2 linked regions of the Mus musculus genome follow. The protein of the gene in region 2 interacts with the protein of the main gene of each other region in a biochemical or structural test. Links are inferred from orthologs where the notes say so. Each region holds a gene or a part of one and is shown on either strand. Other genes may lie near its edges.

Region 1 (3,649 bases), on a different chromosome or scaffold from region 2:
GCTCCTCTGTAGACAGAAGGCCATCTTTAGACAAGCTTGGACAGACCACCGGGAAAAAAAAGCCTCTGAGAAGTCCCTAGGAAGGAGGGCAGGACTGAGAGTGGCTGCCTTGGATCTAGGCCCTTTGTCCAGTGCAGAGTGGAGTGATTTTCTAAAAGCTGTTAACATGATACGGTGGTTTACTTCTGGGATTATTAGGTGCAAAGTGCATAATCTTGAGGAACACAGGCAATGTGAGGTTGTTAGATCAGAATTACAGTATGGAACTGGATAGGGGAGGTATGTAGGCAGAGGCTTTAAGAGACTGGCAGAGCACTGGATGTGGGCTGGGCATGGTTACAGATGTGAAAGGTCTGTAGTGGTTTCCTGAGAGGCCAATAGAGCTAGTGAGAGAAATGGGGAATTGTGAGCATTTAGAAGGAAAACGTTAAACTTTGCTCTATAGTTGTGCTAAATTTGAAGTATTTATCTGGAAAAGTCTGGGAAGAGAAGGGAAGGATTTTGTGCAAGGGTGCAGACTTGGGTCCTCAGTGCAGAAACAGAGCTGGTGTGGAAGACAGTATGCAGAGTCCAAGGAGGATGGTAACAAGGAAGCCCTGATGTTTCCCTGTGTCAGATTTTTAGGGAATAGTTGGGAAAACTTCCAGAAGAAGATAGAAAAAGAATAGAATAGAATATTCTAGAATTGGGGAAACCACTGATTTGTGAAAGTGACTTTCCTTGGGGCTCCTCATAGTTGGGTATCAAGTAGGCCCTCGGAAATGACTGTTGGGATCAGACTCATGATCCTGCCTCTTACTGTCTGACATAATCTCATGTGATTTGGTCATGCTGCTTACCTTTCCTGAGATAATAATGGTCATTGGCTCTCTTACCTTTTCTCCTCCAACCCCCCTGTAATGCTGTAGCTGTGCAGAATCGGGATGCTGCCTGGTACCAGCTGCTGGTGGCACCACTCAGTGAGGATCAGAAAAGAAAGCTGCAGGAGGTGTACACGTTGGCAGAGCACCGAAGGACACTGGCAGGTCAGCCAGTCCTTTCCATATTGGAGTTGTGTGTCCGAGGGCCACCATCTGGCTTACGTGATTAAAATGGCTTCATGAAATGAGCCCTTCATGATAATGAAGAGTTCCACTGTCATATAGCTGGGCTTGTTTTGTGTTTAAGACAGGGTTTTGCCATGTAGCTAGGCTGGCCTGAACTCATAATCCTCTTAATTTATTTTTATCTGTATGCGCTAGAGTTACTACTTTGCTATTCCTGGGCTGAACGGTTGTTCTTCCTCTCTACTTGAGATGCTGGGGTTTGAACTCAGCGTTGTATATGCTGAACAAATAATCTACTAGTGAGCTGGTGAGCTACAATCCTAGTCCTTCTCCTCTTTCTCCTCTTCTTCTTCCTCTTCCATCCCCTCCTATCCCTCCTTCTCGTCTTCCTCCTCCTACCCCCTCTTTGTCTCTGGAGACAGGTTTTCACTTTGTAGCTGGCCTGGAACTCACTGTGTACCCTAAGCTAACTTCAAACTCAACTATCCTTCTGCTTCAACCCTCCTGAGGGCTCAGATTACAGGTGTGTGCCACGATGCCTACCTGTTTTCCTTTTAAGAGATGTTGCAAAGTTGGCTAGTCTAGCCTCAAACGTAGCATAAACTGTGGACCTGTGATCCCTCCTGCTTCACCCTCCCGAGTAGCTGGGATTATCGGATGTCCCTGTGCCACTAGGCCTAGTTTGATGCTTTGTTGTTTGTTTGTTTTAAATCACAGTAGCTCTGTCAATACCATTTCACAGGTAAGGGTTAGTGTGTTCCCCATTCACATCCTCCTGATGTTTTGGAGAAGAAAGGGTTGGGACAGGTCTTGTTGAGAACCTAACATCTCAACCACACATGAACTAAAAGCATTCAGTAGATCTTACAAGGAGCTTGTATTCCTGAAAATGAAAGGCCACATTAATCAGTTTACTATCAATGTATGTACCTAAGGAAATCAACTTATGAGGAGGAAGATTTTATTTTGGCTCTTGGTTTCAGCCCCTGGCCACTTGGTCCCCTTGCCTTTGGGTCTCTGGTGAGGTAGCACCTTATGGGAGGAGTGTGAAGTAGAGGAAAGTAACTCGGTTCAAGAGACCTAGGAAGCAGAATGGAGATGGGGTTGGGGTCCTAGAATCTCCTTCAAAAGCACACCCCATGAGGCCAGAGAAAGGAGCTCAACAATCAAGAGTTATTGCTATTCTTGCAGAGAATCTGGGTTAGGTTACCAGCACCCACATCAGATGGCTTACAACTACCTGTAGCTCCAGTTTCCTTTTTTGATGCCCTTTTCTGGCTTCTTGGGCACCTGCACACATGTGGCATAAGCCCCTCTCACACAGGTGCATAAACGTGTATATGTGCGCGCACACACACACAAAGGATAAAAATAAATCTTTAAAAAAGCACACCCAATAACCTCACTTCCTCCAGTGGCACCTCACCTCTTAAAGGTTCTACCTCCCAGTAGTTCCATAGGCTTGGAACCATGTGTTCAGCATGTGGACTTCAGGGGACATTTCTGACCTAAACCAGAGCAAATTCTCATTTGTATTTGTTTGGGATTCATGTGTTGGTGACTGTTAATTTTCAGTTTTTAAGAAGGAGAAATTGTTTAATGTTAGGATTTCGGGCTTACCCTTGGGTTGTTAATGGGAAAGATTTTGTGCTTACAAAGTATTTCAATGGGAGACCTGGGGAGTTTTGGGTGAGGACGGTTCTGGATCAGGGCGTGGGGGAGAGGAGTGATGCATCTTTTGTTAGCAACTGTGAGGAGTGTAGCCTGTAGCTGTTGGCTTGCAGCTATAGAACTGTTTACACTTCTCTTATGCTAGCAAATGGGCTTTAGTTAGGTGGCAAACTAATACCAGGAATCAAGCTCTTCTCAAGTTTTAAATACATAAAAAGAGGCAGGCCTGGGAGGGGAGGATGGTGTCTGTAATCCTAGCACTTGGTTGTGTGGAGGCAGGACAATCAGGAATCAAGGCCATCCTCAGTTGGATAGCAAGTTAGAGGTCAGTCTGAGCTACATGAGGCCCTGCCTGGAACAAAACAAAGCAGCCTACTATCATAAAAGGCTGGTTCTTTAAAGTTACTTTCAGTACTTTCACCTGAAGCAATCTTTCATGTCTTCCCTCCTCACTTTTTTTTTTTCCCCCTAATAGCAGGGCAGTTTCACATTTGAGGACAAGAGCATCTTCTCCACGTTTAATTTTGGAGTCGTGCCCAGCAACAACTGGAAGGCGCATCCACCGTTCACCGATCGGCGTCACCGCTGCTGCTTAGTACATGGGTTGAGGGCCAAGAAGGCAATAAGAGGCTGTGTCATTGGCATCAGGCGGCCACGGGCCTGCTCTCCCTTCCTTGACCCTTCTTACCCTGGAGTATATATATTTTTAACAGCTACTGTAACGTACGAAATTTTGAAAAAAGCAGAGTCATTGATTGGAAAGGACAAAGCGTCTGCTCTTAAGGCTGAACGCTGAGGGGTTAGAGTTGTGTATCGGCGCATGTCTCAGGTTTTTGCCATGAAGAATCAGTGGATTTATGCAGATAACAGTGCCTTCTGTTGTACATGAATAATCAGAAAAAAATTTTTTTGGAGTGCATTGCAATTTTTTT
Region 2 (3,749 bases):
AGCACCCTAATGCTGTCTTCTCATAGAAATTAACCAGACATCACTTTACAGACAACAGAAAATAAGGGGTCAATTATAATTACTTTGGTTAGTGTTAACAGATTTGTACATAGAAATTCACCTATGTGTTTAGTTCATAGAGCTATGTCTACTTGAGAATCTACTCACGCCAACTTAAACAGAAGCTTTCGTTTAAAATCACTTCTGCCATCCTGGTAAACAAAAACACGAGCAGGCACTGGCTTTGAGTTCTTACACAGCCTCAATTATGTGTTAGTCAACCCAAGCATCCATTATGTACTCAATAATAGCTATGACACAGCTCTGGACAACAGCAATGCCATGGAGAGGCAGACACGAGATAGCCTGCTTACACTGCTTTTCCTGGCGGTAACATTTTTAAGCTGCGTGGAAGCCATGAGATCCTGGCTCCCTCATTAGGAACTTTACCCAACAGTGCTTTGACGGCCTGGTAACTTAGAAGAAAATGTAGCATGCCAGTTCTGTTTGTTAGTTGTTATGAACATAAGTTCATGAACACGAAGTTTCTGTTGAGAGCAGCTACATTCCCTTTAAAACTGCATCGGTGTACGCAACAAAGTAAAGAAAAGAAAATTTTAAGACACTGTTAAGGCTTGGGGATATAGCTCAGTTGGTAGAGTGCTTGCCTAGCGCTCAGGAAGCCCTGAGTTCCATCCCTATCTCAGCAAAAAAGTGCTCTCCCAACCCACCCCCACGCCCAGCACGCGCCAGTAATCCCGATACTTTGTGGGGGGGAGGTGGAAGCAGGAGGATCGACAGTTCAAGGCCATCCTCCCCTATACCTCAAGTTCAAGGCCATCCTGCGCTTCAAAAGACCCAGGGTCAAGAAGCAAGATTGCTAAAACAGCAGCGGAGGCGGAGGGAGCTGGTCCTTAAGGAAGGCACGCGCTTGCTTCTAGATTCCGAAGCGTTTTCAAAGCTGGTTACAGTCCTTACCACAGCACACCCTTGTGAGGTAAGTGTATTATCATCTTTGGTTCATAAATGAAAAAGTTGAGGCACTGAGCGTATTAAGTCACTCGCCTAAGGAGTATGAGTCAACGTCAAGAGTCATAGTTGACCCGGTTTAACGACTCCTGACCTTCAGTCCAGGGCTGAGTCAGCGGAGCCCCGAGTGGCTTCCCTGGCTGGCACCTGGACGTAGGCTATTTCCGTCCACGTCCAAGCAGAATACTGGAACCGATTGGACAGAACTTCCAAACTTTCACGTCCAGCAAGATTCACCCCTGACGCCTTCATCTCAGGACTGGGAACAGGAAAAGCCGACGCGTGCACTCCCCTTCCCCAAACGAGTGAGAGGGTACCGTGGGGCAAGCCCGCCCACCCGCTTGGGCAGCGATGGTAGCAAGGGACCACCCGCGTTAGTGGACCGGGGACTGGGGAGACGCAGACCACATCAACGACTCTCCATCGCCGCCTCTTTCAGAAACCAAGAGAAAATGGTGGGAGGCGAAAAGAAAAACTAAATAAAAAGCAACTTGTCTTAGGACCTCAGCTAAGCAAATGAAGCCTTCTTGCGTGTGCTGAGCCTGCAGTTCTCAACCTTCTAGGAAAGATGGGAGGACTGGGCGACAGAAGGCACAGCAGGAATGCCCCGCAGTGAGTGCAACCGGAGCTCTGCCCGCTGCCCAGCAGAGGCCTAAATCCAACTCGGCAGGAAGCGCCCGCGGCGCCGGGAGCCACGCACCCTCGCCAGCGACCACGTGATCACTTTTTTTTTTTTTGGAAGAAAAAAAAAAACTTCTTGCCTTAAGAAAAAAAAAAAAAAAAAAAAAAAAAAAGACTCCACTTCCCAGAAGCCTCTCCTTCCCCAAGCAGCTGCAGTCTTGCGCAGGCGCCGCTAGGGCCAAACGGACACGTCCGTCACGTGGGCAGGAGCCGGCCAATCCGGTTTGAATCTCATTTTTTTCCTCTCGCCCCCCCTTCAGGAGCGGTTGTGCGATCAGATCGATCTAAGATGGCGACTGTGGAACCGGTGAGTATTGCCTTCGGCCCCCACCCCCGAGCTCCCCGCGCTCCGGCTTCCTCCGCTCAGGGACTCCCGCAGGACGGCGTTACCGGCGCGCACGGCGCCTCCCGCCGCGTCCGGTCCCTGCCCGCCCCCGGCCTGACCTTCGGCGGGCAGCCTCGGCGCCGGGAGGCTGGCGGCGGCAGCGTGGAGCGCACACGCCGTGTGGGGGCCCGGGCACCGGGGCGGTGGGGGGAGGGGCGCCGCGCGGGGCCGCGATGCGGCGGGCGGAGGGCGGCTCGGGACACGGGCGCGGGGATCGGCGTGGGGTCCCGGGGTCTCGGGGGGGCGTGGGGCGGGCGGCTCCTAGCGGGCACCGTGGCTGGTGGGCGGCGAGCCGGCCCGAGAGAGCCGGAGAGGGAGCCCGAGGCAGCGGCGCCTCGCCGTCGCCGGCGACCCGCCGCCGGGGGTCCTCGTGCGGGCCGCGCTCTGGAGCTGCGGAGGAGGGTGGGCTGGCGGAGCCCACCGGTGGGCGCGCGGGAGCTGGGCGGGCGCGTCCCGCGGGGAGCCGGGGGCCGTGGCGTTGAGTAGGGGAGCATGCTCAGGGGTCGTGTCGCGCACCTCCCGGCGCCGGGGACAGGGGCCGGCTGAGGTGGGGATCACATTGTCCTGGCCCCTCCACGCCGGGACGGGGCTGTCATGGAGGAGGGAAGGGGGAGGAGCGAGGCCTACAGATCGCCGCCGCGGGTCGGCTGGCCGGAGACCTGCATTTCACACGCGCCGGGCTTTCCATTCATTCATCCTCGGGGCGCAGCGCGCACGCCTCCGAGGACCGGGTAGATTCTTCCGCTCTTAAGCCACCACCAGATCGTCTGGGAGATAGCCAACGAACACTTAATTTTAGAAATAGGAACTTTCAAGATTACCTTTTCTTAAATTAAAAGAAAAAACATTTTTTTTTAAAGCATGGTGGGGGCAGTGGCGCGAGCCGCGACTTGCGAGTGGAGGTCAGAGGACAGCTTTTAGAGTCCCGAGGATCGAGATTCAGGCGCTTTTCTCGAACCATCACTTAAGCTCATCAGCATTTGCTTTTCCATTTGATGTTTCCTTCTTAACTTTATACTGCTTCCCTCTTAATGAAAGCGCTATTTTGAAATTAATTGAAGCAAGATGCACATAGAGCATCACGGCGTAACTCCGGTAGCCCGAAGGTGGTGATTTTTTTTTTTTTTTTTTCTTCTGTCATGGTTTGGGTTTGCCAGCAGCTGGCTCACTGGCCATCCATCGCAGGTTTTTTTTTTTTTTTTTAAGGAATGTCACACATGTGTGAAAGTCTCAGGCGCATAAAGGCATAGACTAGCAACCAGAAACCTCTGTAGAACACCTTTGCCAGATGTTTTAAAACTCACCGATAGACTGAATATGAATAATTTGATATGTTTGCAAAATGGCCTTATCTTGGCAAAATTCAAGACAACTTTTTGGGAGTGGAGACATGATTTACTTGTTCTTTATTGACATCAGTTTTCCTGGCATTTTGCAAAACTGCATCATAAGTTGTTGGTGAAATTAACTTTAGAATATCAATGTAAGAGCAAGAGGGGAAGCATTTAAATGTAACCTAGACTCTTGACAAGTTCTCCTGTCTCCTGATTGAATCTTCTACTTTTCTCTACCAGTGTTAGAGGAAAATATTACAGATAATAATAGAGGCAAAGCTAAGCAATAAACAGCAATGTGTTCTATGACATCTCAGTTC

The links.
Region 1: the proteins of Eif4e (region 2) and Ipo8 form a complex in vitro, tested with the Homo sapiens proteins (2 studies listed by BioGRID and IntAct, with this or other methods). The link is inferred for Mus musculus from reciprocal best matches to the Homo sapiens genes EIF4E and IPO8.

The regions. Positions count from the first base shown.
Region 1 is NC_000072.6:148,772,353-148,776,001, reverse strand, and holds part of Ipo8 (importin-8), read left to right. Parts: intron 1-908; coding exon 909-1,025; coding exon of another isoform or gene 1,026-1,033; intron 1,034-1,838; coding exon of another isoform or gene 1,839-1,853; intron 1,854-3,192; coding exon 3,193-3,212; coding exon of another isoform or gene 3,213-3,513; 3' UTR 3,514-3,649. UniProt on the Homo sapiens protein: Involved in nuclear protein import, either by acting as autonomous nuclear transport receptor or as an adapter-like protein in association with the importin-beta subunit KPNB1.
Region 2 is NC_000069.6:138,525,298-138,529,046, forward strand, and holds the start of Eif4e (eukaryotic translation initiation factor 4E), read left to right. Parts: upstream 1-893; 5' UTR 894-997; intron 998-1,123; exon of another isoform or gene 1,124-1,188; intron 1,189-1,622; exon of another isoform or gene 1,623-1,631; coding exon of another isoform or gene 1,632-1,641; intron 1,642-1,970; coding exon of another isoform or gene 1,971-1,999; coding exon 2,000-2,017; intron 2,018-3,067; exon of another isoform or gene 3,068-3,749. UniProt on the Homo sapiens protein: Acts in the cytoplasm to initiate and regulate protein synthesis and is required in the nucleus for export of a subset of mRNAs from the nucleus to the cytoplasm which promotes processes such as RNA capping, processing and splicing.